Linked DNA regions of Elephas maximus indicus. The protein of the gene in region 2 purifies or fractionates together with the protein of the main gene of each other region. This does not show direct contact. Links are inferred from orthologs where the notes say so. Each region holds a gene or a part of one and is shown on either strand. Other genes may lie near its edges.

Region 1 (15,325 bases), on a different chromosome or scaffold from region 2:
TAGTTGGGGTGCAATAAATATTTGCTGAATGGATGAGTGAATAATTGAATGAATGGATGCCCTCCCTCCTCCCTAAATCCTATTGGACACACCACTCATTTTGACATTTAATCACACCCTTCCTTGAAAGATTCACTAATTTGCTGCCCCCAGTGGCGACCACCTCAGTATATATTATTAAAACTCAAATCTGATCTCTTCATTCCCCAGCTCTAAGCCTTCAGGAGAGTTCCAGCACCACACAGCCTTTGAGGCCCTAACTGAGCAGGTTCCCACCTACTTTTCTAGCCCTCATCTCCAGAGGGAGCCCCCATTGCACACCCATGCCCCACCCAATCTCTGACCACACAGGGCTTTCTCCCCACCCCCACTCCTCCATGTGGAGCTCCCTGGAATGCCTTTTCCCCCGCCCCAACTGCCTCTAGCAAACTCCTACTCATTCTTCAGACCTAGCGCCAACCAAAGTCACTTCACCCATGAGACACTCCAGACCCCCTGGGGCTGACTTAATCACTATCTTCTGGCTCCCACCCCTCTCTTTCATACCCTGGCCTTAGCACCGAGAAATAGCTTAAAATAGCAGCTGGTGTCTTCTGGGCCCTCGCTGTGTGCCAGGCACAGAGCAGGCTTTATAGAATTCATTCCCCACACCCATCCTGAGGCCCAGCCTGGAGGGTCCTCCGGCCCCAGAGAACACATGGACCACTTTCCCATCTCCAACTTTCCAGAAAGCCGTCCCTGCCACCGTATTTGAACATTTTCTTCCTCCCTCTCCACCTCACTACTAGGCCTCCTGGGCCCTCTCTTGCTTCCTTTTTCTCCAAAGCTCTTATCACCATCTAACACATATATTTGAATAATTTATTTCTGTATTCTGTCTCTGCCCACTAGAGTGTAAGCTCCACAGGGACACAGGTTTTGGTCATGTCTTTGTCACTACTGTATCTTAACATCGAGAGTAGTGCCTGGCACATAATAGGCACTCAGTAAGTACTTACTAAGTCAAAGAAAAGCCGTTGCCATTGAGTCAGCTCTGACTCATAGTGACCTTATAGGACAGATTAGAACTGCCCCATAGGATTTCCAAGGAGCAGCTGGTGGATTTGAACTGCCGACCTTTTGGTTAACAGCTGAGCTCTTAACCACTGTGCCACCAGGGCTCCAAGTCAAAGAAGGTAAGTATTATTACCATATTCATTTTGTCCCTGAGAAAGGTGGGCTTTAGAGGTGAAGACACATGCCCAGAGTTCTACAGTGGGATGGTGGTAGAGCTAGGATGTGAAACCCACCCCTCCTCACCATGGTCAATTCTAACATCCACTCCCTTAGGTTGCTGGGCCCACCACCTCTAGAGGACATGGGGTAGTTCTCTCTTCATGGTCTGACTTCTCAGCTAGACTGAGTTCCTTGAAGGCAAGAATTCTGTTCTATTCACATTTGTACCTCCCTGTCTGATCCTTGGTAGGCACTCAAGGAATGTTTGCTGAATCTATCTGTATGTGGAACATGAAGTGCTGACTGGTAGGAATCATATCTCTGTTCTTTTTTTTAACTTTACCTCTACACTAAGCATGGTGTTATATACACAGCTGGGGCTTCATAAATACTTGATAAATTAATGACTACTATTTTTTTTTTATCATGGCAGCCCACCACCATCTGTCAGTTTATCATACTATAGTGACTTGCATGTTGCTATGAAGCTGGAAGCTATGTCACCGGTATTTCAAATACCAGTAGGGTCACCCACGATGGACAGGTTTTGACAGAGCTTCCAGACTAAGACAGACTAGGAAGAAAGACCTGACGATCTACTTCTGAAAATTAGCGAGTGAAAACAATATGAATCACAACAGCATATTGTCTGACACATCGTAGTGCTGGAAGATGAGCCCCCTAGGTTAAAGACACTCAAAATACACAGTGGTCACATCAATGGACTTGAGCATACTAATGATCATGATGATGGCACAGGACCAGGCAGTGTTTCCTTCTGTTGTGTGTGAGGCTGTCATGAGTCAGAGTCGGCTTGAGGGCAACTAACAAGAAGAACATTATGTTGGGTAATGAGGATAATAAAAAGAATTAAACAGCAATAATGACAATAACAAATAACATTTATGGAATCCTTACTCTTTTTGGGTCCTATTCAAGTCCTTTTATGTGAATGAAGACAATTAATTATCTTATCATCTTTATTTGACAGATGAGGAAATGGAGGTTCAGAGAAGTCAAGAACCTGCTCAAGTGCACACTGCTAGTAAATGGAAGAGGCAGGACTTGAATGTAGGCATTTGGCTGAGTCATGCTCTTAACGACCACTCTAGGCTGCTTTTCAGCCTAAGAGAAGATGTCCATTAAAAGGCTGCCCTGCGTGAAAACAGTAAGAATGGTTTATTACAAATTTCCATTTTATTTCAAGGAAGTTTTTCAGAAGCTTTGGTAGGCGTGATAGTTAAGGTTGTGGGTCAACTTGCTGGGCCATGATTCTCAGTGGTTTGGCAATTATTTCATGATGTAGTTATCCTCCATTTTGTGATATGATGTAATCACCTCCAGGATGTGATCAGCCAATCATTTGTACGGGGAGTTTCATCAGGGGTGTGGCCTATATCCAATATATATAGATGATGTGGCAAAGCTCACTGGCTTTTGCTCACTCTGGATCCTGTATCCAACTTGTCATCATTTGACCTCCGGTTCTGGGGACTTGAGCCATAGACCTGCAGAATTGCCTGACACATCTTGGATTCTTCAGCCTCCACAGCCTGTGAGCCAGCAGCCTGCCATCTTACCTACTGATCTTGGACTCAACAGCCACCATAGCCCACAAGCCAGCAGCCTGCCATCTTAGCTGCCAATCTTGAGTTCTTCAGCCCCTGTAGCTATGTGAGTCAGGAGAAGCCTCCAGCCTGACAACTGACCCACAGACTTGGGACTTGCCAGCCTCTATGACTGTGTGCGCCATTTCCTTGAGATAAATCTCCCTCTCTCTCTTTCTATATATATATATATATATATACACACTTCACTGATTTTGCTTCTCTAGAGAACCCAGCCTAAAATAGTAGGCAACATTATTTGCCAAATAATAACCACTAATATTTGTACCTCACTTTATGGCTTGCAGAGCAGTTTTGTGTATAGTTTCTCATCTGATCACCACAACAAACCAATGAGGTAGGCATTATCTTGTTTTATAAAAAAAAAAAAAATTATAGAGGAGGAATATGAGGCTCTGAGCAGTTAAGGGAACAAAGTCAAGGTCACCCAGCCAGCAAGGAGCAGAGCAAGACCTCAAGTTAACATTTATCAGCTTAAAAAAAAAAAATTAATCTGCCTGCCTCCAAATATAAACAACCTTCATACTACTGAAAATTAAATGAGATAATCCATGGAAAAGTACTTAGCCCAGTTCCTGGCACTTGGTGAGTCCCTCATAAATGTTAGCTATCATCATCTTTATCAATACCTTGTAGGAACTGGGATATTTTGGTTGAATACTGCAGCCTGCATGTTGACCTTGACAGAAAGATTACTCTTTTCATTTCAGTTCATCCCTGGTAATGTTGAAATAACGATCAATCTCCATTATCCCTGGGGTACCATAGAATGTTAAGAGCTGGAAGGGTTTATGGAGATGATCTCATCCAGTGCCTGTACTTTACAGACAGAGAAATTGAGTCTCAGGGAGGGAAAAGGTCAGAAAGCAAACCTGTGGCTGAACCAAGTCAAGGGTAAGACACACGCACAGAGCCCGGCACCTACTGCCTCTCATAAAGATAGGGTTTACCCGAAAGTGCATTTAGCTTCTTCAATCAGGAGATAATTCATTAGTTTCCGTGGCTGTGAGCACCACCAGCCAGGCCCCACACACAAAGCAGTAAAGTATTATGAGGTATTGACGAGAAAACAGATCATGTGATTTAATTCCACCTCTGCTAAAGGGCTTAAAATGCTTTGGTGAGTAGTATGAGATTCTAAGTATACACTTCAACTCTTTCTCAAAGAATTATTAACTAGCTCCATCAAAATGAGCTTGAGCAATCAAGGAGAAAAAGAGCTGGCAAGAGGAATTCCTTGAAAAAAATTTCACCAACAGGATATATGACTTTTCGCCATCTCTCTCTCTCTCTCTCCTTAATTCTAAGCGTTGGAAGAGGAAGGAATGAAAAAGGTATTATGTAAGATGTGAATTACTAAAACTAATCGTGGAAAATTACAACTCTTGAGACTTCACAGTGTAGGTTTCAAATGAACACAACAGGATATTTGTAGAACTTAAAGACAGAAAGCATTTAAAGGGAAGATAAAGCAGAGGGGTAAAAACGCTCTAACTTCATTCAGAGGGTGGAGATGGGCCAGGGAAGCCTCACGGTATGTGGGTGAGGTGATTTCTGATAGCCCACTCCCAGCTAACTACTTTGTGAACCTATAATTTACAGTCCATAACATCACACACTCACCTTACTTATCTCCCTAACCCACTGAGTATTAATCTCCCAGGCATGGGACTAGCTTTTCATTCCACACACAGGTCTTGATCAGCTTTAGCTTGAGGATTTGGGGGTGGGGAGGGATGATGGAGAGAAATAAGATTAGGGTCAGTCTCAAACCATAGTAAACAGGAATATAAACCCTTCTCTATGCTGTTTCTCTGGGTTTCCCAAGAAAGGCTGGAATTCAGGCCCTGTGAATGAACTTGTGGACATACCAGCTCTAGGAATGAACGGGCTCCCCTCCTTCACAGCACCTTTATCAAATTCAAACTATTTTCCACATTCCTCCTTTACACAACCCAAGCGCACTTGTGACGCAGACCTCAGAGCAAACTCTGGCCTGGCCCTTCCTTCTAGAAAGGAAAGTCCAAGTAAGGAGGGATACCACACCCGGGGGAGGGGAGAGAGGCATGACGACACCTCCAAGAATGCAGAGCCCACGCAGGTGCGTTGGCATCTACTGACTTCCTTTTTAAACGGCCTGATAAATCAGTACTGATAACAGTAATAAAACTCAACCACCCAACAATCGCCCACACAGAGCTAGGGCCCCCCGCTCTTAGGGCGAGGCCCTGCCAAATAGAGAGAGAAGGGTGAATGCTGTGAATGAAGAGCCCTCAAGGTGGTGACGTAGCTTCTAGTCCGTGGTTCTCAAAGTGTGGTCTAGGGACCCTTGGAAGTCCCTGAGATCTCTCTGGGGATTCACAAGGTCAAAATTATTTCCATAATTGTAAGATGTCATTTGCCCTTCTCGTCATCCCCCATTGACTCACAAGCACACAATGGAGCTTTCCAGAAGGGACAAGACATGTGCATCAACACTCTGATGACTACAGGACTGTGTGCTTCTGTATTCCTGTGTTTTAAATACTTGTTTTAATCCTAATAAAACAAATATTGATAGACGTAACACACACAAAATATTTTGGGGTCCTCCATAATTTTTAAGTGTATAAAGGGTCTTGAGATCAAAAAGTTTGACAACTGCTGTACTAGTCCAGTTAAGAGAGTTACAGTTTAGGCCCTGAGGCTTCCCCATGGTGACATCACATCTTTATTTCCAGCTCAGCTTGAATCACATGAAAAAACCCACTGCCATCCGATTCCGACTCATAGCGACCCTATAGGACAGATATGAGTAACATAGTAGGTACTTTTGAACAAGGGGGTGAAAAGGCTGCCTTATTATTATTCAGCTTGGGATGGTATCCTTTCCATCTGTACCTCCACCCAGAAATGCCCATGAAAACGTTAAGTTCTGTACAAACTTTGCGCAACTGGAACCTCCACCCTCCCATGAAGAAAGACGGGCTTCTTTCTCACCCTGTAAACCAAGGTGGGGCAGTTAGCATACAGAAACCACACTTCTTCAGCCCCAGCACCCAGCAGAGATGTATCTGAGTACCTGCTAGAGTCAGGCATTGTGCTATACCCTCAACAGTGAGAAAAGCAGATGTGGTTCCTGCCTTTAGGGAGCTTTCATTTTAGGGTGGAGAAGATTACTCATTAAAAAACTCAAAGGCATCTAAAAAAAAAAAAAAGGCAAGCTGAAACTGTCACAAACTCTGGGAAGAAGAGGTATAGGGCGGTAGGAGCAGATGTGTTAGGCCCCCAGGACTCAGCTGGAATGAAGCATGCTAACCAGGCCAGCTCCCCAAGACCCTCTTCTTGACCTCAGGTTAGAAATCCCTGTTCCAGAAGGACTGAATTGTGAGTTCCTGCCTGATCTTTCTTCCTGGCCTTCCATGGTTAACATTTGTCAGTCTCAGGAACACACACCACACATTGTGTCTGTCACCAGATTGGGCTGTGACTACAAGTCGCGGCATGGCTGTTCCCTACTCTAGCTCACAAGAAGTTCAACAGCCCTTCGAGAAGCAGCAATCCTACGGCGGGCCTTGGTAGCCCTTGCGTAGGGGGAAAACTTCGTGAGGGGGAGACTTGGGGAGGGGGTCTTCTCCAGCCATAATTTTCAGAGGGTCCCACCTTCCCGGCCTGGCTAATGCTAAACAGGGTCTGCCTGGGAAAATCCCAGCTCTGGTGCATTTAGAGAAAAGGATACGGCCTTTCGTTACTCAGGGACACAGCTCCGTTGCTCGGGAAACACACACAAGCCAGACGCTGTCATTTGGGGAAACAGCAAAATGGCCAAGAAATGGCTTGAGGTGGGAAAAGGGAGCCTTCAGAGGTTAAAAAGAGAAACAAACCGAAAAAAAGCGCAGAAGGGTCGGCCTAGGAAAAGCCCTCGGAGGCTGGGCCCGAAGAGAGCACCTAGGACTTGAGCCCACCTTCCTTCCCTTCCCGGCGCCAATTCAGTGCTGGGACCTGACGCACTTAAAATGGTGCAGGGCACAGAAACTCTGTTCGACAAGACCCAGCCCCGAGGGCCCTGAGGTTCACCACCAGTCTCTCCTGCAGAGGCGGGAAAACTTGGCTTTTGCAACCAAGAGTTGCATCTGGACGCCTAAAAGACGCAAACAGGAGGCCGAGCGTCGATTTGAAGCTGCGACAACCCAAACTGGCGGCGGGGCAGGCCCGGCGGGAAGCTAGCGGCCCCGCGGAGCCTCAGCGTGGTCGACCACCCGAGTCGGGGGAGTCGGCGCGCGTCCCGCGGCGCGAGCTCCCAGCGGGCCCTCAGTAACCAGGCGCGCTCCGGCGCACCCGCGCGTGCGCAGGAGGCCCCCCACCGTCGCCCTTCTCCAGGTGCGCTCGCGCTTCCGGCCGGCCTTCTCGCACCCTCCCTGCCCTGGGCGGAAACTCCGTGGCCTGCGCATGCGCCCCCCGGCTCTCCTGCTGAGTCCAGAGGGGAGGCCCCCGGCTCCAGGTGATCCCGCCCCTCCTTCGCAGCGCTGGACCAATTACGCCTCGGTGGGCGGAATTTTCGAGTAGGCGGCCCGCCCACGAGCTGAGCGAGGCGTGTATCGATTGGTTGGCGCCGCGGGCGCAGGTGCGCGCTTCCCATTGGGTGTGGGCGGAGCGCGGTCTGCAGAGCCTTTCGGAGGCTGCAGGTGAGCGCGCGCACTGGGCTCGGGGACGCGCCCGCGGGCTCGCGGCGGAGGCTGCCGGGAGCGAGGCTGCGGCGCTCGTCGCCTCTGCTCCGCCCCCTCCTCCTCCTCCTGCATCGTCGCGGCCGCCGCCGAGGCCCGAGGGAGGGAGCCGCGTCCCCGCCCTCCGCGCCGCCAGTCCGACCCTCGATCCCGCCGCGTGAGGAGCCAGCAGAGCGGGGCTCAGGGCGAAGACGGGAGCCGCCGCCGCCCCCTGTGCAGGTGCCAGTGAGGAGGCTCCGGGCCACAGCCGCCCCCCCAGCCCGCCCGCCGCGCACTCGCTCCCCGCTCTCCTGTGCGGTGGCCCGGCCGGAGGAGGCCGCCGCGGGCTCGGCGCTCAGCATGAACCGCAGCCACCGGCACGGGGCGGGCAGCGGCTACCTGGGCACCATGGAGGTGAAGAGCAAGGTGCGCGGGGCCCGGCAGGGTGAAGCGGCGGGGCCGGGGCCGGGACACGGGGAGGCCAGAGCCGGGGGCGGAGGGCGGCGAACGCGGCTCGGGGGAGGCGAGGGGCCCGGCAGGGACCGCCTGGGGAGCTGCCCGGTGCCTGGGACGGCGGGGTGCGGGGTAGTGGGACTTGGAGACAGGCGGTGGCGGATAATAAACTCGCTGAGAAGGGGACGGGCGAGGGCTTGTATCTGCTCCTGGCCCTGATAGGACGACCCAGTGGAGCACTTAGTCTCAGTCCTGTTCCAGAATGAGAGTGAGGCCCAATCTGTACCCGAGGATGCGGAGGCATTTGAGTACAGTGTGGGAGGAAAGGTTTGGGGGAAATTCTGCGTACTGGGTTGACGAGTAGAAGCTATTTGGAATATCCCATGGTCATATAAAGTTACCCCTTCGTGGCTCAGGGGATCATCCGGTGGCAAAGGAAAGAGCCCAGTGTACTAAAGAGCCCTTTTCAAGTGAGCTATGTTTCCTGCAAGGAATTTTTCTAGCACTAACTTTGGTATGCATTTAATCTGTAAAATTTGCACTATCACCTTACGTTTGAGTGGTACTTTACAGTTTGAGTCTGGATGCTCTTTTCATTCCGTCGTTCTACCTTTTCACATCAAGTGCTTTCACCCTTGACCTACGAACGGTATGCCAATCTGGGGATAATTACCTCCGTATCAACTGAATTCCTAAATTGCAAGGCCGGGCGAGCAGGACAGTCTGTAGGGATTAGTTAAGGAATGCTTTCCAAAGGGGGTTTTGAACTGGAATTTGAAGGTGATCGGCAGCTGCGGGAACATTTTCAGCAAGCATTCCATGAATTGAAGAGCCGAAAGGAGTTTAGATCATCTAGCCCCATTCTCGTTTTACAGATGAGAAGACTGAGGCTCAGAAGGGTTATGACTTTCCCAAGCTCTGGTTTTGTGATAAAACCGTAAAGCCTTGATTAAAGCTGTTTCAGAGAATCACTTTCAGGCACTGCAGAATACAAAAAGTTCACTCGCTAGGCCCTGAGCACATTTAGAATACAGTTGGGAAGAGCAGAACACAGAATAGAAAAATAAAAGCATATCACCTTCAAAAATAACGAAGCACGTTGAATGTAAAACTAGTTAGAATGCACAATCAAGAAGCCATTTGAGCGAAGTGCAGTGGAATTAAGGAAAGTTTCCAGGAGCCTGTGGGTAGAATAGTTTTTATTGTCTAGGGCTGATAAACACAGTTCTGTAAGTTGCTGTAACTGAGAACCACATCAAGAATATGTAAATGTGTTCATTTTTAAACTTTATTTGCGACTTTAAGAACTCACCTATCAGGATAGGCACTAGTTTAAGGAACCGTTCTGTAATTATAAGCAATTTAAGAAATAGGTTCTTCCTTGTGTCCTCCTTGGAACCGTTGTAGCACATTGAAGTGGCTTGCTTGAACTAAAGGGTTAAGATGACTCAAAATCTGCAGAGCTTTTCCTCTAGCAGTCTGGTGGTGGTAGTGTCCCTGCCCATTGGTTGGGCTTTCTCGTCCCAGATTTGTTATAAATGTAGTTTGGGTTTGTGGGAGTTGAGGTTAAGAAAAGAAAAGCACTTGTGATACTGCCTAATCTTAAAATTCAATTTGTGGTCTTAATCTTGGTGGTGAGTCTTTAGTTTTTTATCTTAGGAAAAAATGAGTAGGGATTTGATAGTAGGGCTCAGTCGAGGTGCACTGATAATTACAATGAAAGTTATTTCTGGTACTGGGAAACTTTGAACACTTGGGAACTGGAACTTCAGGCTTTTTGCTCTTCATTTGTGAATCTTTCATATACTGTGGCCAAACTATATGTTGTGTGTCGGACCTGCCATAGTACACGTCTTTAGTGAGCCGGATCTCTTTAACAGAATCAAGGCATCCTGAGAGCCGGCACTGAATGAAGTGGTCCCACTGTTATTCTGGCTGCTGGTAACTCGGCATGGCACACAGGGACATGTAGTATGTCTCTGACACCTTATGTTTTAAATATGTGTTAAATGAAGCAGTTGTCATCTTAGTCATCAGAGATTTAGTCATCTGGACATATTTTCGAAACAGTATTTCCTTTTACACTGCTTTAGTGCTATCTCAGCTTTTTACAAACTGATCACTAAGCTGGTAAACAAAACTTGGTAGTGTGCAGACCCACGCTTTAGGATTTTTTTCTTCAGCATTGAAAACAGTAGCTTCAACTTTATTATCTTCGCTCATGGAGAGAGAAAATGGTGCAGATAAGAAAATAACGGACGGCGCAGAATCACTAGGGTGAGATTGGTGATAGTGCTGCCATGTGATTTTTTTCCTTTGGTAACTGATTTATCTTCCTAATTGCTTCTCCAGAGTTAGGAAAGTTTTTAACAAACACAATGATGTCCTTCAACCTTGGAACAGTGTTTGAACCATAAAACTTCCTAACTGTTAATTATGTTGTTGTTAGGTGCCATCAAGTCAGCAACCTTGTGTACGACAGAACTAAAGAAACACTGCCCAGTCCTGCACGATCCTTGCAATTGTTGCAGCCACTGTGTCAGTCCATCTTCTTGAGGGTCTTCCTCTTTTTCATTGTGACTCCTGGGCAAACAGAATATTAACATTAGGTTTGCATTTCTGGAATGCCATCTGATGCTGGGGAAGGAGAATCCTTACACATTCAGGATGGCCAGGACAGTTCAACTTACAGTGACCCTTTAGGACAAGGTGGAACTGCCCCATAGGATTTCCAAGGACCTGCAGGCGGATTTGAACTGCTGATCTTTTGGTTAGCAGCGGAACTCTTAGCCACTATACCACCAGGGCTGCTAGAACAAACTCATAAAAATTTGTTGCCGGACAAACTCCCACCCAACCCATAGATGGGGCTAAAAAACAGTTGTAAATAAATGGTGCACACAGTGAATAATTCCTTTGTGAATAGTTGCTGATTGGGTCTGAATTTTAACTCCTAGTATTTACTTCATGTAGTAAAAAGTTCTCTTAACCTTTTGTTTTGCTGCAAGAAGCATAACGATTTCTGTTGTTTTTTTCCTGCCAACATTTGCAAAAAGGCACAACTACTGTGAAGCTGTACAGTTTCCCATTGTTTTTAATCATACCATTTTAGCAAGAGAAGAACGTAGAGCAAAGAATTTTCATGCAGAGCTTTTGCAAAAACATCGAAGCCCTAAAATGTTCAATTACTAAATGTCATTCCCATTTATAGTCTCTGGGTGGTACAGATGGTTAAGTGCTAGACTGTTAACCAAAAGATTGTGGTTCAAACCCACCCAGAGGCACCTGAGAAGGAAGGCCTAGAGATCTGCTTCTGAAAGGTCACGGCCTTGAAAACCCTATGGAGCAGAGTTCTGTTGTGCACACATGGGGTCCCCATGAGTCAGAATCCACATAAGGCAACTAAGAACAACAACATTCCCATTCATGTACCAGAGGAAATGATAAACCCTGTGGGTGAGTCAGAAAGCAGTAGGGATTCCACGTTGTGATGCCAGAGTAAAGAAGATGCGGAGAAACCGTGACTTTTGATAACATCAGAAGACTAACTCTGATATGAAGGGTGTTCCCTGAGTGTTTGTTTATTTTGAAATGTGAAGGTGTGACTAAACTTTTTGAGAGCTTTAGGTATGAGTCGCCTTATTTTCTTGATAAATGTCAGTGTTTATGTTTCAGCAACGTGTTTTGGAAACTTTTAAATTTATTAGAGGGAAGAGGTGGTTTTAGTGTGTTTGAATTTTACTTTAAAATGAGCGGGTAGTTTGGGTATAAGCAAGGAGGATGACCAGCAAAAGCAGTGGATCCAGATATCCTGGAGGGCCCTTGGGAAAATGAATTGACATGTTGGTAAACTGCTGAAATTATTCTGGTAGGGACTTTCCCCACATGGTGCTTAAGGCCCTGTCTCAGGGGTACATTAGAGTTTCTTACTAACAATAGATACTTAGAGGGAAAACGAGTACAGTGGTCAGACACATTTGGGAAGCATTTGCTTAAATTTTTTTTAAAAAATCAACTCTGGGAGTTAACAGCCTTTAATATGCTGGTTTGCACAGCCATTCTTGAGACGGTGACTGTGTAGCATTTCCAGAATTTAAGTGACTGGGACAACTTTTTGAGGAAGGCTGATGAGCCTTTCTTAGGTTTCCACATTTGAGGAAATGCCATGGTAGTCCCATAGAGAGTTATAAATCGTGCTTATTATGGACTGGATGAAGCCAGTCCTTTGTGTGTCGAATAAGCACGACGTTAGTGATTTGGCAGTTGGAGACAAGTGGTGTGATTCTGGAGTGGGGAAGCCAATCTGAGTGTCAGAACTATGAAGAGAAACATTGGGTATGATGGAGGTTGCCATCCTCCCCATTTGTGTGATCCCTTAATACCTCTATGGTGTAATTATTCTCTTTACCCACTAATTGGTGAGTTTCTGGAGCAAGCTTGAGCCTTGAAATCTCTAGGGCCTAGCTTTGTGCCAGCTACATAAACATTTGTTTCTATAATTGGATAATTGTAGGGCATATATTTGATATATTAGTGAAGCTTCTTTTGGCTTTAACATAGGGAAGATGCTTCTTAGCTCTAGGCCTATTTTTTATGTACCTACCTCCGATAGAATAGTACCTTATGCCAAGGAGCTCAAAACCCTTTTTGTATATTTTGCTATTAATCCATGCCACATCCTGTGAAATCGTAGTTCCTTTTATGGGGGAGGAAACTTAGATGCTTTTTTGTTAATGCTCAAAGTAAGGACTTGGGCACATCTCTGGTACCCTGTGGCCTTTGTGAGGAGAGTACTGCTGTCAGGGTGTGGTCTGCAGACAGGGTTTGAGCTGAGTCACTGTGCTGGAACGTCCCCAGAGAGGCAGGTACCCCAGGGATTGAGTTGAACTGCTTCTCTTGAAGGGAACGCCCCTCAGAGCTGCAGCAGTGAGAGGGTACCTTCCTGCGCCTTTCTTATGCAGGTTTATCTCCTGCTAATGAAGTTTCTCTGACAATAGACTGTTGCTTTAAGGGGAATACTGTTTGTTAATATTTTTACGGCATTTTCTGTTACTTATGTTTGTTTTTTGAACTTTACATGTTTGTTGTATTTATAGTTTGGAGCTGAATTTCGTCGTTTTTCACTGGAAAGATCAAAACCTGGAAAATTTGAGGAGTTCTATGGATTACTGCAACATGTTCATAAGATACCCAATGTTGACGTTTTAGTAGGCTATGCAGACATCCATGGGGACTTACTACCTATAAATAACGATGATAATTACCACAAAGCTGTTTCAACAGCCAACCCACTGCTTAGGATTTTTATTCAAAAGAAGGGTAAGTACCACTGTTAATAAAAATTATTTTAGAAATAGAGGTAGTTTGTTTCCTGTTGGTAGGATACACAGACTTTGCCACAAACTTACTGAATAAACATTTTGTGTGTATCTTCTTGCTGTGTTAACTAACAAGTGGGTTAAAACATTTGTCATTGTTGGTTCAGTTAATATCTTTACGTTTCACTAAGTGTACTTTAGAAAATTTGTGTTTTTAATTACTACTTTTAACCTCTTAGGTTCTTTATATAAATTAGGAATTTATTGAATCTTCATTTGATTGAATGGATTATTGCCCATTCAGAAAAATGGTAGAAATCATATGGCTTTGGAGGCAGAGAGACATTCCAGCTTTTTTGGTGGCCGCTAACTTCTAAATCCTATATTTACTACTTAATAAATATGTGGAAGAAAGTTATTTAATCTTCCTCTGTCTCACGGACTGTATCTATAGAAAGACTGTAACACCATAGAGGATTACTGTGAAAATTAAATAAGCCAAGTGCAGTGCCTGGCGTGTAGTCAGCACCCAGTAAAATTTTTCTTTCACCTTTTAGGATATTTTCCATAGGAAAATGTAAAATTATTAGTTTAATTATCTGGAAAATTAGATAGCAAGTCATTATTTTGGACGAATGTAAGCATTGATATTCGTTTAGCAAAAAAAAAAAGTAATAACTGTTGTACTTGGCAAGCATTTTCAAATGTATTTTGAGTCCTGAGACTTTTTATTTTTTTAATATTGTGGCATCCTGTACGTCTGTATCTCTGATAGGAATTGTGGTGTCTGCCATTTATTCCTGTCTCTTGGGTAAATTGAGAGGTTTGAGAAGCCATTATCAGAGCAGGGAGCACAGTATTGGTGGGATAGTTGAAGTCTTACTCTGTTAGTAAACCAATCAGCTTGTGAAAACTCAGCTTGCTTGTGAAAATGGGTAGGGATTTCCCTTGAAGTGAAGCTTTAGTTCCAATCAGTTGATAAGCATTGGACCACTCCCAGGGCTTTGAAATTCCACTGATTATGCATCTTCGCTTTTCTGGATTTGGAGGAACTAAAGTCCACCAACAAAATAAACCTCCAAGAGTAACTTATGTCTGCATTACTTGACTGTTTACAAAATGCTTTCACACACACAAATTTTTCCAAAGACCCCTGAGATGGATACCACAGATAATTTTAACAGGGATATGACATAATTAATTTGACTGTTAAGGCTGAAGGAGTGGGCAGCAGTCTTTTACAGCAGAGAACAAGAGCAGGTAGTGGAGATGCTGCTGGAAGCTGCCACAGTAGAGGAGAGAGGTGAGAACAGAGTTTGTTGTTGTTGGGTGTTGTCAAGTGGACTCACAGCAACCCAAAGTGCCAGAGTAGAACTGCCTCACAGGGTTTTCTGGGCTGTAATCCTTATAGATGCAGATGGCCAGGTCTTTCTCCTAAAGATCCAGTGGATGGGTTCAAACTGCCAACCTTTTGGTTAGCCGAGTGCTTAGCTGTTGCACCACCAGTACTCCTTCAGGAACAGAGCAGTGGGAACATAAAAGGGAAATATTTGAGAGCCATTGCACTCACAGCTGAGTGGTATGGAGTTGAAGGGGAGTCTAGCAAAGAGCAGCTTTATGGCTTTGAGCCTGATGGCTGGGATAGTGCCATAAACACGCAAAATTGAAAGAGAAATTGATTTGGGAAAGAAAATTATGAGTTTGATCTTGGAACAAATAAACTTATAAGGCTGGCGAGTTGGGCATGCCATACAGGAAATTGAAAATGGTAGACCGGAGCTTTGTAAGAAAAATTTGACAGTTTGCTGAAAAGTGATAGCTGAAATATGGCAAGGTGAGACAGATGATCAGGAATAGGACCTTGGAAAGCTATGTATAGAATGCTGGAGAAAGAAGATGTCCGTATAGGAGAGTACAGGACAAAACATTTGAGTGGAACTTGGCAATTTGAGCAGAATACATTAAATAGTAATGTTGAATAACAGGTCTGTCTTGTTGTAATTTTCATTAAAAATTCAGTTGTTCTTTA
Region 2 (14,638 bases):
CACTCCCTTCCCTTCTCATTGCCCCAGTCACCACTGCCACCAGCCACCAGAACCATCCTGGGTTTAGGACAGTTCTCCCCACACCTGATGCCCACTCTGGAAAAAAACAAGAGAGCTATTTGGTGACAGGCCAGAAAATCCACACCCTGTCTTTCCTAACCATCCGTGCCCTGCTGGAACACACAGCTAACCCCCTCTACATCTCAAGGGCTCAATAAAGAACCAGGGGAAGCAGAGAGGGAGGAGCTGCATGGGGCGGGCTTGTCTTGGGCCTCTGCTCTAGCAGCAGATTTGATTGTGCCAGGATGGATGAAGGAGGTGGGCAGCCTGGGCTGGCACTGTTTGGAGTGCCTAGGCTAACTTGTCCCCATGAGACCAAGGCTTGGCCAAGCTGAGCCAGACTGTCTGTCCTGGAGGTGTGAGATGGGCCAGCCCCACTGACCTGCTAGGAGAGTCTACACCCAGTGGTAGAACTCCACACTCCTCCTGCCCAAGGGAGAAAAGGCCCCTCAAGCCACACCCAGCCTCCACCCATGTCCGTGACCTCCAGCAGCCAACACACAAGTGCACATGACATCCAAGTGCTCGTTTTGTCTCCCCTTGGCTCATGCTCCCCACAGCCCTGCTGCTGATAAAGAAGCTGCCCTGCCTTCCCCAGCATCCTGTGTGCGGCCTATGTGTGGCTTTGGCCTCCTGGCTGACGGATGTGAATACGCCCCTGCACCACCTACCAATGGGAGTGGTAGGGCAGGGCTCTAAGCGACAGAGGCAGCTGCTGACCCCTCGGCCTTTGCCCATGCCAACCCAGATGCCCAGGGCTGCTTTGCAAGGGCCCGTGTTGCCCTGGGAAACCCAGTCTCCCAGCAGCACAGGCAGCCCTCTGACCAGCAGCTTTGCAACCAAGCCTTAGCTGAAAGGGTACCTCTATGGAGGTGGGACCAAGGAGACCACACACACACGCACACAGAGAGAGAAAGAGAGATAGAGAGTTAAAGAGTATTGGGGAAACCAGAGAAATCACTGTTAGGCAATAGAAGGAACTGAGAACTTTCTATGTGCTGCGCTTTACTTTAAGCACTTCACATGCTTCATCTTATTTAATTCTTATGACAATTACTTATGAAATAAATGATTCAGAGAGACATCAGGCCAGCAGTTAGGAAGCGGCCACATCCCAATTTGAACCCCAATCTGTTCAGTTCGGGTCTCTCTCCCAGGACAAAGGGGCTAGCTGAGATTAGGTTGAGGGGGAGTTACTGCTTAAGGGGCACTGAGCTTCTGTTAAGGGTGGTGGGAAAATCTGGAAATGGATAGTGGTGCTGGCTGCACAATATGATGAATGATGTCCAGGTAAGAAAGGTTGAAATGCTAAAAGTTGTGTTATTACATGTCTACCACAGTGAAATATATATATACATATATGTGTGTATACGTATACATATATACACACACATATATATATACATATATATGTATATACCTATGCACACACAAAAACAAAACAAACAGTAGGTTGATGGGACGGACCTTTTGAAGTTAGCAGCCAGAACAAACTTCACCCGCCCAGGGAGGGCCTGGTGATCAGTCTCCACCTCTACCACAGCCCCACCCCACAACCCTGGGAGAGTCACTCAAGGCTCCTAAATGGTTTCTGTCCTTGCTGCCACTTCTGGGCCCATGAGGATGGGGTGGGGAAGTTGGAGTGAAGCCCCAGCTCCCCATGAATCTTCACTTCCCCACTCCCATTCTGGGGTCCCAGGTCCCTTCTGCAATACAACACGAATGGCTTTCCAGGGAAGTGACCAATTGGGTGAGGCTAACTGTGAGGAAAAGCAAAGCCAATCTTGGGAAAAAAGGCCAACTTGCCTGAGGTTGGGGTGGGTGGGCCCTCCTACCTGCCCCCAGACTTGAACAGCTGTCCCAAGGAGCTTCTAGAAAATGTCATCTTCAGGGGGGACAGATGTGCCTACCTAGTTCATGGTTGTGTCCCCAGAGCTCCGTGACCCTGAAACACAGGAAACACTCAAATACTATTTAAAGAGCCCCCTCACCTCCTTCAAGTCTTTGCTCAAAGGTCACCTTCTGCATGAGGCCCACCCTGGCTACACTTTGCAAAATTACAATCTGCCCCCTACCACCCACACCGTTGCCGTCGAGTCGATTCCGACTCATAGCCACCCTATAGGACAGGGTTTCTAAGGAGCAGCTGGTGGATTCGAACTGCTGACCTTTCAGTAGCCTTAGGTCTGAACCATTACGCCACCAGGGTTTCCTACCATGGGAGTTTCAAATTCTCTGCTCTAGATCTCCTTACTCTCTATAGCTCACAATGCTTTTAACACATTATTTTTTATTTAGGCTCACACTTCCCACTCACTTTAGAATGTAAGTTCCATGAGGGCAAAGATGTTGGCTCTGTTTACAGGTTATCCCATGCCTTGCACACAAGAAGCACAAATAGATACTTATTGAAATGAACAGCTAGGATTAATAACTAGACAAGGTCTTCCGTCAGAAGCCACTGGCCGCAAAGAGCACTGGGCTGGGGTTCCACACAGTCCCGCGGGGTACTTGCCCACTCTGTTCTCAAAGACTCTGGACAAGCCAAAGGCCACTGGACGCACGCTGGGGATACCTGCACCCTCGTGGACCCTGCCTCACTTAGACTGAGGCTCCAGGACATGTAACTCTTTGGCAAGGTGAATCCCAAAATAATACTATTGACCAGAGTCACCGTCCCGTACCCAGATGTCCCTCTTGCCAGACCCTGGGACAGTGGGTCAGGAGACTCAGAGAAGACTCTGGTCTCTGCTGAATTCTTGAAGGGTAGACTCAGGTGCCTGGGAGCTTCCCTGACCCCACACCCCGTGAGCCTCTCCTAGCTCAAGAATTCACTGTGGTTCCTGGGAAGGGGTAGGAGTGGGGTGACTCCTGCTTCCTCTCAGAGGCAAGGCTACCCCAAAGGGAGCTGGCCAAGGCCCTGGCATTGGGCTATGGGGAGTGTCTCCAGGGGAAGGGCAAGCAGTGCTGGTGGCCCCATCGGGGAAAGCCCATCTCCTGGCCTCACCCCGTTTCTTCCCTGTGACCTACTCCTGGGCAGAGGAAAACCAAGTCCCCAAGCAGACCCGGCTTGCCTCGACTCAGAAGGAGCCCTGATAACTGTATCACCCGAATGAGATAAGAAGATAACTGGGAGCTGAGTACTCAGGGTAAGTGTGTCCAGATGGCCAGTGCTGCTTAAAGCGGCCAACCCAGTAGCAGAGGCCATGGGTCCCCAACCCAGGTGTCTCAAACAGCTACCTCTGGCACATCTAGAAAGCCCAGGAAGGCTGAATAATCCCCCAGGAAACCAAGCCTCCCCACACGGCTCTTGGACACTTCTGCCAGGGATGCTCAGTGTCCCCAGTGGGGCAGGCAGGGGTCACAATGAGGGCAGAGGCTCCCAACATTCCAGCTCCATGCACCACTTAACAGTGATGGGAGGGTTCTGGGAGCAGGAAGTCCCCCCTCTCAGATGAGGACACCCCCTCCCTAAACGAGGTTGAAAGCAGGCACTACGGAGTTCCCAAAAATCTCCTTAATGACGATGGAGCGGCACAGGGGTTTGTTGCCACCCAGCACCCCCCCCCCCAAAAAAAAGACAGGGTACAGACAGTGCACACAGCCAACTGGAGATTCTGCACACCCTCCTCCCTACCTCCAGCCTCAGCAAGAAGGGCCCAGCCAGGGTCCACAGGTCAGAAGCCCAAGGAGCAGAAGTGGCAAGGGCCGTGGGGACATATATGACATTAAGAGAGGACACTGCCATCTACCTCTGCCCCCCACCCCCCAGGAACAATGTCCTGATTTAAAAAGCTCGAGCTCCAGAGGCTTTCAAAGATCACAAAATTATAACCTCTTTGCTGATCCCCGGATGGAGAAGCCAAATTCCCTCACAACACACCAGGCAACTCCAAAAAGCACAGGAGCTGCCCAAAGGCTTGCAGGGTGAAGTTCAGCCTTACTGGCTATGTGCTGGGCCACACGTGTTCCTGATATGTTTCACCCTCTCGTCAACATGTGTACAAACAGAGCTCGCTGAGGCAGACACAGTAAGTGACTGAGCCAAGGGCACACAGCAAGACACCAGCCAGGCCACGACTCAAAACTCCCCTGGTATTTGGCAAGATGCTAAAAAACTTAATGAACGGTATGTTTGAGGGAGAATTATTTTCCCTTATTTTATACTTTCATATAATGCTTGACTGTTCCTGCCATGCACTTCTATTACCTTTTTGATTTTTTTAAATAAACAGGGACCATCTAGTATTATGAGCCTTTTCTCATGGTGTAAATGGTTAAATGCTAGACTAATAACTGAAAGGTTGGCGGTTCAAATCTACCCAGAGGCACCTCAGAAGAAAGGCCTGGTGATCTACTTTCCAAAGGTTACAAGTCATTGAAATCCCTACAAAGCAAAGCTCTGCTCTGGAATACAAGGAGTCACCATAAATTGGTTTTGTTTGTGTGTGTTAATGGGCTGATGAAAATGTTCTGGAACCAGACAGCGATGACGGCTGATTGTAGTAAATGCCACTGAATAGTATACTTTAAAATAATAAATTTTGTTATGTACATTTTATCACAGCTTTTAAAAGCTACTATTTCTTTAAAAACACAACTAAGCCAAACAATAGTTCAGCTTAAGTAGTAAAAAATGCCTGCCTTGAGCATTGTGCTCTTTCAAGCAAGATCTATCTATATGGGATCAAACTGACAACAGCAACTCAGGGGAGCAGTGAGTTTATGTTCGTAGCGGAGGAACAACTCAGAAAAGGAGGGTGAGAATGGTTGCACAACTCAAAGAATGTAATCAGTGTCACTGAATTGTACACATGGAAACTGTTGAATTGATGTATAAAACACCAAAAAACCAAACCCAGTGCCGTGGAGTCGATTCCGACTCATAGCAGCCCTACAGTACAGAGAACTTCCCCACAGAGTTTCCAAGGAGTGCCTGGCAGATTTGAACTGCCGACCCTTTGGTTAGCAGCCGTAGCACTTAACCACTATGCCACTAGGGTTTCCGAATTAATATACATAATACATAAAAAACAAACAAACAAAAACAGAAGAAACAAGTGTTGGTTACTTAAAGAAACACAACTATTAATTGTCACCAAATGAGGGCAGCTTTCTCCTATGCTCCATTGTCTCAGGGAGGACTGGGGGCCCAGGGTGGCCTCCCACAGACTGGCTCAACCAAAACTCGGTGAAGAGGGCAGGGCTCCGAGAGCTGAGTTGGGTCCTGGCTGCCACAGGCAGGTCACTTAAGCAAACCAAACCTGAGTCCCACATGCACTAAATAAAGGAAGCGAAAACATCTCTCCAAGGTCCCTTCCGGAGCTGAGCCCAGCCCACACGCATCTAGGATCTTTCTCAAAGGCCACTTTCGACCTTGGTTCCCCCTGGGCTGGGCCAAGCACTTCTCCAGCGTTGCTCCTGGGCTCTTCCCACTCGGGTTTCCTTGTCCTCCTGACACGCCCATTCCCTCCCTGCTCTGAATCCCCTCCACAGCACGATTGGATCTTGAGTTGCAAACTCCTGCAGACGGTCCCGAGAGCCTGGTCGCAGAAGCCCTGCATCAGCACATGCATCCCCACGGGAGGGGACGCTGAATCTAAGCCCTGCCCGCCTCACCCAAAGCTCACCTGTCTCAGGTGAGGGCCTCAGGAGGCCATACCGCGGCTCCCCTGGTTACGCTCAGCTCTCTCCACAGCCAAGGCCCAATCTGTCCACGAACCGTCCAGCTGGACCAAACCAAGAACAAACTTTGCACGCTTTCTTTGGCAAGGCAGAATTTTCCACCCCTCGCCAAGTCCGAATGTCCCACAGAGCAATAATCCCCGCCCCGGCTGGCGTGGAAAACAGACCGGGTCTCCGCCTAAAGGTGTCCAAAACCGCCTCCGGCGGAGAAAGGCCCTGAGACCGAAGTCCCTCCGGCGGGCTTCCTGCGACCGGGGATTAGGAGGCACAAAGGCCTGGGAGGGAACGGGCCCAGATGGCAGGGGCTAAGCCGCCGAGGTTACGCGCTCCGGCCGCCGCTCGGGGACAGAGGGCCAACCGGAGACGCGCCTCGCCGACCTCCCGGTCAGGAGTCTTGCACTTGGGGTCAGAGACCCGGGGGCCCCGTCTCCGCTGCAGTGTCCCCGCACCCAGCCGGGCCGGGCACCTGCTTCTCTGCTCCCCAAAGCCAACACTATTGTGCAAACCCGAAACCCAGATTCCGTCATCGAGGGAGGATTAGGCAGAGAGAAGTTCCCGGCGGCACTTTCTACAGGTGTCTTTCTCCCAAAGGAGCCAGCGCTAGGGCGCGGCGGTCGGACCTGGGTGCAGTCCTCCCCGCCCGGCCTGGGAAGCCCGGGGGTCTCGGCCCTCGCCGGCCTCCCCGCCCCTCTGGCGGGCGCCCCAAGGGGGCGGGCCCGGCCAGGTGGGTCCCGGTTCCGCGTCTCACCTGGAACCCCGCGCCAGCCCCGCCCGAGGCCTCTGCGTCCTCGGCGCCCGCCGCCGGCCCCGCTCGCTCCGCGCGCCGGCCCACGGACTGCTGGCGGCCTCTCCTTCCTGCTCACCTCCGGCGGCGGGCAGGGCGGAGCCGCCGTATTTACATAAAGAGCCAGCCGCCTGCCCGCGGAGCCCGGCCCCGCCCCCGCCCCGCCCCGCCCCGCCCCTACGATGACCGGGCGAGGGTGCAGCCGGGGCGCCGCGGGGCAGGGCCAGGTTCGGGCCAATCGCCGGCCCCAAGGGCCCGGGGCGGGGCTAGGCTCGTGAATATGCACGATACCCGCTGGCCCGCCCCGGTCTCACCTGCGCGTACCTGCGTCGCGGGACTAGGCGCCGCACCCCGTGTCCCGCCGCCTCCAGAGGAGGAAATAGTTCCCGGAACGCGCGGAGACACCGGGGGCACCTCCCGGCCCGACTCCAGAGGGCAGCCGTCCCTCCAACAGCCCGGCCCAACTGCCGAGGGAGGGCCCAGCCCGATCAGAGCCGCGTCCCGAGGACGCGGGACAGGTTTCGGGATCCCGGAGCGGTTATGGGGACGTTGCTGCGAGGCACCTCCCCTCGGACAGGGCCCTAAGAACCCCCTCCACTCTGTCGTAGTGGCGGCGGGGTCCGCGACACCGAGGGGCAGCGGCTGGAGTTTTTAGCACCAGCGAGGGAGGGCTTGGAGTGCAGTGGAGTGGCGAGGGGCGGGAACGGAAGGGACGCGGAAGCCCGGCCCGAGGCCTAGGGAGCGAGAAGGGGGCGCGTCTTCTGCGCGCCTGCAGGCGGCCCCTCGGAGCGTCTAGGGCTCCAACCTCACCGACAAGGCCACCCTTCTACCCTGACCCGGCTAAGCCCCGGACTCCTTCCTCGAACTACCCTTCGGAAACCCAAGCCAGCTAGAGGTCTGTGACTTCCCATCCCCGAAAAGGGCGGGACGCGTTCCGGCCTCCCGCTGGCTTCCCTCACTCTTTAGGTCCCGCACCAGAGCAAGCTCTTCGTGTGTTTGTGTTAGCCCCGCGGGCAACAGCGTGTGGGGGAGGGGAGCACTGCGGGGCCTGGACTGAGTTGCCTCATCCAATATATCCAGCCACAGCAGGAAGAGTTAACTTTTTAATGGCTTTGGCTTTATCGCATGAAGCAGGCACCCTCTGGGTTAAAGGCACGGAGTCCTCTCTTCTGCCTCACCTTGCTGGGTCTCTGAAATCTAGTCCTGAGTCCCAAGGAGGTCACTGCAAAGCAGGAACCTCCGGCTTGGAGCGTGGAAGCGCTGCAGTGGCCAGGCAGAGGGGCAAGGCTTCGCTCTCCTGCAAGCATCACACACCAGGGCCAGGGCACAGACTGGCTCCTGTGGCTCCAGGCACAGGATGCTGGAACAGTCCCTGAGAGCAGACAGTCCAGGTCTGAAGCACAGGCCCCAGCCTTTCCCTGAGAGAGGAGCTGCATGGTCACTGCTCCAGGTCCCTGGGCAGTGTGAAGTCCCGGAAGCTGTAGAAGGAGATGTCACCATGATCCACCAGGGCAAAGATGAGGGGGACATCCCCACTCTGGTAGGACAACCGCTTAAGGGTGGTGAGGCCTGGGACTGGCTCGTCAAATCTGCAGGGAGAAGGATTAGACTGAGACTTTGGCACAGCCCACCTGTGAGCTCTGAGACCCCAGCCGGGGTTGGGGGTACAAGAATGCTGGCCCCTGGCCTGCCTTCTCTGCAAGCAGCGTGGCTCTGATAAGTGCTCCAAAAAAGGAACCGGAGCCCTGGTTGGGGCTCTGATAAGCGCTCCAAAAAGGAACCGGAGCCCTGGTTGGGGAGGGGGCTAAGAAGAGGGAGGCTCTCACCACTCTTAGCCTGTAAATCCCTCTGCTTCTCATTCCTTCTGCTGGGGGAGCCTGGGACTAAAGTGACTCAGGAGAGAGCCTACCCCTAAATCCCAAGAGGAGCTAAGAATTGGCAAACCTGGGTTCCAACAGCACTGACAGGCTGTGTGGCCTCACACGGAGGCTGTCTAACCTCTCTGGGCTCAGGTTCCTCTCGGACTGGCCAGGGGTGGGAGTAAAGAGAAGGTGCACATGGCTTCACAAGGAACCGGGAGTGGTACACACTTGCTGGTCTCGTACCCACTAATGCACATCCGAGCGTAGGGCTTGCCAGGGTTATTCTTTCGGAAAGTGGCCACAGCGCTGGCCTGGTAAACGTCGAAGCTGATCTCCAAGCCCCCCGACTTCTCCAGCAGCCTGAGGACAGAGTAAGAAACCTTCAGAAAACAGGGACTCTCCTGCCCACCTTTCCATCTCACCTTTTCCCTCCACTGGTTCCAGAAGGCAGCCTGGTCCAGGGGAGGTATGAGGGGTAGCGGGGAGGTGAGCTGCCCTACCTCAGAACCCTTGGCATAAATCCACCCCATCTGTGGTTCCTCCCTTCCTGCTAGACACACGCGAACATCAGATGCTGCTCAGCTCAGAGCGAGGCAGGTGGGTACGGGGCCCTGGAATGAGTCCCAACTGATGCCCAACTTTGCTGTATGCAAACTCACCGGGCCCCTCCGTCAGCCAGGTGTGTCGTCTGCAGCACCGAGATATGCTGTAGGACCGCGGCTACAAGGACAGTGAAAACAAAGGTTTGGAGATCAGTCAACCATTTATGGAATCTCTCAACACTTCTGAATCTGCCAGCTAGTTTAGGATTGCCAGGTTTAAAAAAAAAAAAAAAAAAAAAAGTTTAGCAAATAAAAATACAAGATGTCTTTATTTTACCTGGCAGCCCTAATCTGGTCCCTTAAAATCTTCTACGTCCCATAAGGATTTTAAGGCGTTCTAAATCCGTTAATGCAGTCAGCCAGGGCTAGTCTTGCCCTGAGGGTTCCCTATACTTGACAACAAGAGCAGAAAGTAAGCCTTCGATGTGGCCAAGATGGCGCCTCCCGCTTCCAATCTGATGAGACTGGGAGGCCCAGCTGGTTGGTGGCGAAGCCATCACATTCATCTTGTATCTAGTTTATGACTTTAAGAGCGTGGTCGTAGTTTTCATTCCTCCTCGCCTCTCCTCAGTCGCCAACCAACCATCTCTAATGTCCCCATTTGAGCCCTCTGCTGCTGCCCTGGAGTAGACAGTCCTTGTGGGTTCCACTCCACCGGGCAGTCTCTTCCCCCATCCTCCTTAGCCTGGCTCAGTCCTGGTCAACCCACGCCCCTTTCAAAGTCTTGTGACTCCTCCGCTACCAGTGCTGGCAGGGCTGTGGCACAGTGGGGGTACCTGGGGAGTCTGCCTGGCCAGGGCTCAGCAAGGGGGTGACAGGCTGGTCCCACAGGTGTGGAGGGCAGCTCTGGGTCTTCTGCAGGTGTCGCCTCTGCAGCAGTGCCTTGTACTCCTGCCAGCTGGAACAGCGCTGCACCTCAGGATCCATGCTGACATCTTCCCGGAAGTGCCGGGCCCCTGCCTGTTGCTCCCGTCGGGAGAGCTTCTCCTTCCGTTGGTTCAGCTTCTGGCACCAGGACTCGGCGTCTATCTCCCGCCCAGAGATGTTGGCTGGAAGCAGCTCTGGGGCTGGGGCAAGCAGGAGGGTGTGACGGCTGTCTGAAGCCATGTTGGGGAAGGAGATCTGCTCAAAGTTCCACCGTGGCTTACAAACCTCCATGGCTCCATTCTCTACTTTGCCACTCTCTTGGCTGCATTCCACCCTGTCCCTGGCCAGGCCAGGCCAGGGCTCCAAGGACCCTAGAAGCTCAGGGTCCTTTCTAGGGCTTGATTCATGGGGTTTTTCCTCTGGGCATGGGCTGTTGTAGCCGCAGGGAGATGGGCTTGAGGCTGCCTGGCTCTCAGGTGTCCCATTCACCTCCTGCAGGGGGCTCTCCAGGGTCCTGGGCTTCTTGGGAAGGGACCTGAGGGATGCGGGGAGGAAAGGCAGCTGCTGTGCTGATGTGCACACATGCCAGTGTGTGCTGGGAGGGACAGGTGCCCCACTGTCTACCCCGAGCCACCGTAGGAGCTGCCGAAGCTTCAAACATCAGCACTCCCCCAACAGCTCAGCACCCCCACCACTCACTGGGGGCTGGGGGAGCGGCAGGGGGAGCATTACTGAGAGCTGGAGCTCCTTCTCCTCCTCCTGCAATTCCGATCCTCCAGGTGCTGGGCGCTGCCATCCAGGTTCAGCTGCCTCTCGTAAGGGGACAGGACAGAGCTGTGGGGAGAGGATGGGGCGGGTCACAGATCCACCTTCTCTGCCTGGGCAGGGGATGGGGCTGAGAGGACAAGTCATGGGGCCATAGTGGGGGGCGGGGCCTAAAGCCACAGAGCCTGGGCAGACCTGCACTCAGGACATATGGGAGCAGCCACAGGGCCTAGCCATGCCACTCTGCCTGGGCCTCTGGGCCTCACCAGTGCCACCTTTGAACAGAGGGTTCCCTGGAATTGGGGTCCCTGCTATGAGTCAGAATTGACTTGACGGTAATGAGTTTGCAGAGCCAGCAAGAAATGATCACTGTGACAAAAACCAAGAGAAACTAGAAAACTTGAAAGATACAGGAAAATAAAGATGAAAATAAAAATCACAGATAACCACTGTTAACGTTGTGTCTCACACACACACACTCCATGTGTTTTTCTCTCTCCATGTTTTTTCTAATACAAATGACATTGTTCTAGCATTTTGTTATTCTTAGTTGCCATCAAGTGGATTCTGACTCACGGTGAACCCGTGTGTGCGGAGCAGAACCGCTCCAAGGCTGCGACCTTGCAGAAGCAGATGACCAGGCCTGTCTTCCAAGGAGCCTCTGGGTGGGTTCAAACCACCAACCTTTCAGCCAGTTGTCGAGTACTTACCGGTTTGTGTCATATAAACACGGCCCCTCACCGCCACAGCATTCTTCTCTGGCGTGGGTTGTTCTTTTTTTTTGTTGTTGTTCTAAGGCTGTACTGCCCAATATGCCACAAGTGGCTATGGTGGAACAGTGGTTAAGAGCTTGGCTGCTAACCAAAAGGTCGGCAGTTTGAATCCACCAGCCGCTCCTTAGAAACCCCATGGAGCAGTTCTACTCAGTCCTATAGGGTCGCTACAAAAACTCGCTGAGTTGAAATTAACTCAAAGGTAACAAGTTTGGCTTGGCTTATGATGAAGTTAAACATTTAGTTCTGTGGATGCATAAGGCACACACATTGGACGGCGCAGGTAGAGACCATTTTCATCATTGCAGAAAGTTTTATCAGGCAGGGCTGCTCTGAAGGATCAACTCTAATGTAGGTGACTATGTCTCCACTGTTGGACTCCTGGGTTGTTTCTAAGTTCACTAGCCTTGCGAAGTGATGCTGTGCTGTGCTAGCTCCCCAGTAAACGCAAGCTCCATGGGGGCAGAGATTTTGCTCTGTGCTGTGTCCTCAGCTCCTAGCACAAGGCCTGATACACGGTAAGTACTCAGTAAACATTTGACGAATGAATGGATGAACGTTCTCACCATCAGTCTCTGCACACATCACGATTACTTCCTTAGGGTATACTCTCCTTTCAGAAATCAAAGGACGTGCCTGTTGCACAGCTTTTGTCACAGACTGTGAAACTGCAAAGCCTGTATCACTTGCCGCTCCAAGTCTGAGGGGCTCTGTGGCTCCTAGCAGTACTAGATTACTAAGGGGGTCATCTGCAGAGGCCACACGAGAAAAGACCATCTAGCCTAATATAAGAAATGTGAAATCCTTCTAAACTCCCCACTCAGTCCTTCCTTCACTCAACAAATCTGCGGCACACCTACTAAGTGCTGGGCACTGCTCAGGGCCACATCTCCAAGCTTGCCATGCCTGGCAGGTGCTCGTCATCACCAGTGGAGTGAGCCAGCTGAGGTGGGTCCTAATTTGATAAATTGAAATAACTCGGATTCTTCCAGCAGAGGTCAACCCATGTCCAGGGAAGGTTCCAGAGCTCCAGGCAAGGATTCCAGGTAGAGGCCACTTTCCCACCTTGGGCTAGGCAGCTGGGTCCCAGGGTTAGATTGAATGGAAGGGAAAAGGGATGGGGATTTACCTTGGCTGGAATCGTCGAACCACATAGCCCAGTCTCTTCAGGTGGCTGAAGACCTCAAAAGAAAGAAAAGATTTAGGTCAAATGTCTCCTCTTGAAAACACCAAATAGTTGCTCGAGACAGAAGCCACTTACTTCTCAGGCCCCTCCCCTGTCCCTCCTGCACACGTGCAGATTCCAAACCCTGGTAGTGGTTGGGCCACAGTCCATTATAAACACACTTCCCAAAGTTGGATCTCCACCTCTGAATTCCTGTCCTCCTCACTTATCTTACTTTGGGAAGAAAGGACTTTTAGTAGTTTGACTTAAAAGCTGATAACAATAGACCAAAAAAAGAACCATGCCCCAGAATAACTTGATATCAAAGCTGACAAAAATGAAGCTCCTGACTATGACTTAGACAAGATGACAGAAAGTGGTGGACATTCTTCCCACCTCCAGACATGGGTGGGGTGGGAGTGGTCTCTGAAGAGCCACATGTTTGTCCTCGTGTCTGTGTAACCATGTTAAAGGGACATATCCAGGGATGTCCCTCATCTTGCTTGAACTCTACAGCCTTTGACATAGCGACCCCTTCCTCCTCAAAAGACCTTCTTTTGGCTTTTATGCCACCACCTCTCCTGGTTTTTCCTCTGTTGCCGAACACTCCTCAGTCTGCTTCTGGTCCATCAGCCTTCTTCCAGCCTCCTCATGTTGGAGAGCTCAAGGTCTGAAACCCAGCTCTCTACACTTGCCATACTCTCATACAGTCTCGTGGCTTTAAATAGCATCCATGTGCTCATGAAGTCCACATTTTATGTCTCTTGCCTTGACCTCCCCTGCCCTTCAGGCTTGTGTATCCAATTGCCTACTTGACCCCATGTCCCCCTCCCTGTGTACACTGTGCCAGCCGCCATGTCTATGTTCCACACCACCTGCCCCCACCCCAGCTTGCCTTGTCTCAGAGCCTTTGCACTTGCTGTTTCCTCTGCCCAGAGTACTCTGTCCCCAAATCTTTGCATAGCTTGCTCCTTCTCAACAAGTCTCTCTCTAGACGTTAGCCCTTTAGTGATACCTTTCTGGCTTCCAAGTCTAAATCAGCATCTTCCACTCTCTATCACTGTCCCCCTCTGCTTCATTTTCTATCTAGCACTCAACTCTCTCTGAGGTGAATAATTCATTTGTCTGTTTACTTATTATCAAATTGGCGCCACTAGAATGTAAGCACAATGAGAGCAGAATGCTTGTTTGTCTTGGGGCCCCAGCATGTAGCGCTGTGCCTTGCACTTTGTAGTTACTTGTAAATACTTGCATATATATTCACTGACTTGACAGATGAGTGGCTTTTGTCTCTGCAGAGGGTGGCAGATACCTGGTACTGCAGGAAAGTCACAGTGTCCTCAGTCAGGAGCAGCTGGTAGGCTTCCTGGATGGACAACGGCAGGTCTTGGTAGAAGAGCTGGATGGAGCCCTGGAAGAGGGGGACAATAGCTCTGGCTGTGAGCCATCTTCTGCACTGGCACAGCCAAATGGGGTAGCTTCCTGGCTCTGCCATGCCTTCTCTCCCCAACATCACTACAAAAATACGGCCAACCCAGAAAAGGGGTCTGTGGCACTCATTTGGTCTGGAACCCCTGTTCTCTATATGGCACTCTGTCTCCTGCTCCTGAAGCCAGGTTACAAACTCCTTGGAAACTCAGTTTTGTATACTTTTCCCAACGTGTCCTTTGGGTTCCTTGGTCCCAAATCCTTCCCCGACCTCCCGGGCCCCACTCACACACTCCAGCAGATACAAGGCCTCTTCGGGGTGAAGCCGTTGCCGGCCCTGCTGTGAGAAGCCCATGGTCTGCCAGAATTTACCCTGCATGAGGCCCAGAGAAAGCGTCTGTCACAGAAGAGCCAGGAGGGCAGAGAAGGCGGGTCCCCTGCCCCATCCCCACCGCTCACCGCAGGAGACTGCAACTCCACGAAGCCTTCCTCTGGCCTCCAGTCTGCGGCCACTAAGCTGCCCCTGGCAAGGCGTGGGGAGGGGTCGTCTCAGCCCACCCGAGAGTCGCAGAGCCCGCCAGCGCGCGCCCACCCCGCCCCGGCCGCCCGACCGCTCACAGGCGCTCCACGCGCTCCTCGGCCAGCAG

Evidence for each region.
Region 1: the proteins of LLGL2 (region 2) and PARD6B purify together in Homo sapiens (affinity purification with mass spectrometry; 7 studies listed by BioGRID and IntAct, counting the BioPlex papers as one, with this or other methods). This does not show direct contact. The link is inferred for Elephas maximus indicus from reciprocal best matches to the Homo sapiens genes LLGL2 and PARD6B.

What each region holds. Positions count from the first base shown.
Region 1 is NC_064843.1:18,914,396-18,929,720, reverse strand, and holds the start of PARD6B (partitioning defective 6 homolog beta), read left to right. Parts: upstream 1-7,511; 5' UTR 7,512-7,885; coding exon 7,886-7,951; intron 7,952-13,074; coding exon 13,075-13,297; intron 13,298-15,325. UniProt on the Homo sapiens protein: Adapter protein involved in asymmetrical cell division and cell polarization processes. Probably involved in formation of epithelial tight junctions.
Region 2 is NC_064837.1:65,822,841-65,837,478, reverse strand, and holds the start of LLGL2 (LLGL scribble cell polarity complex component 2), read right to left. Parts: upstream 7,188-14,638; 5' UTR 6,854-7,187; intron 6,604-6,853; exon of another isoform or gene 6,494-6,603; intron 5,790-6,493; exon of another isoform or gene 5,691-5,789; intron 1-5,690. Other genes in the region: TSEN54 (tRNA-splicing endonuclease subunit Sen54), read right to left, coding at 7,968-8,118, 8,635-8,751, 9,051-9,111, 9,770-10,395, 10,593-10,694, 12,528-12,580, 13,876-13,974, 14,281-14,364 and 2 more. UniProt on the Homo sapiens protein: Part of a complex with GPSM2/LGN, PRKCI/aPKC and PARD6B/Par-6, which may ensure the correct organization and orientation of bipolar spindles for normal cell division.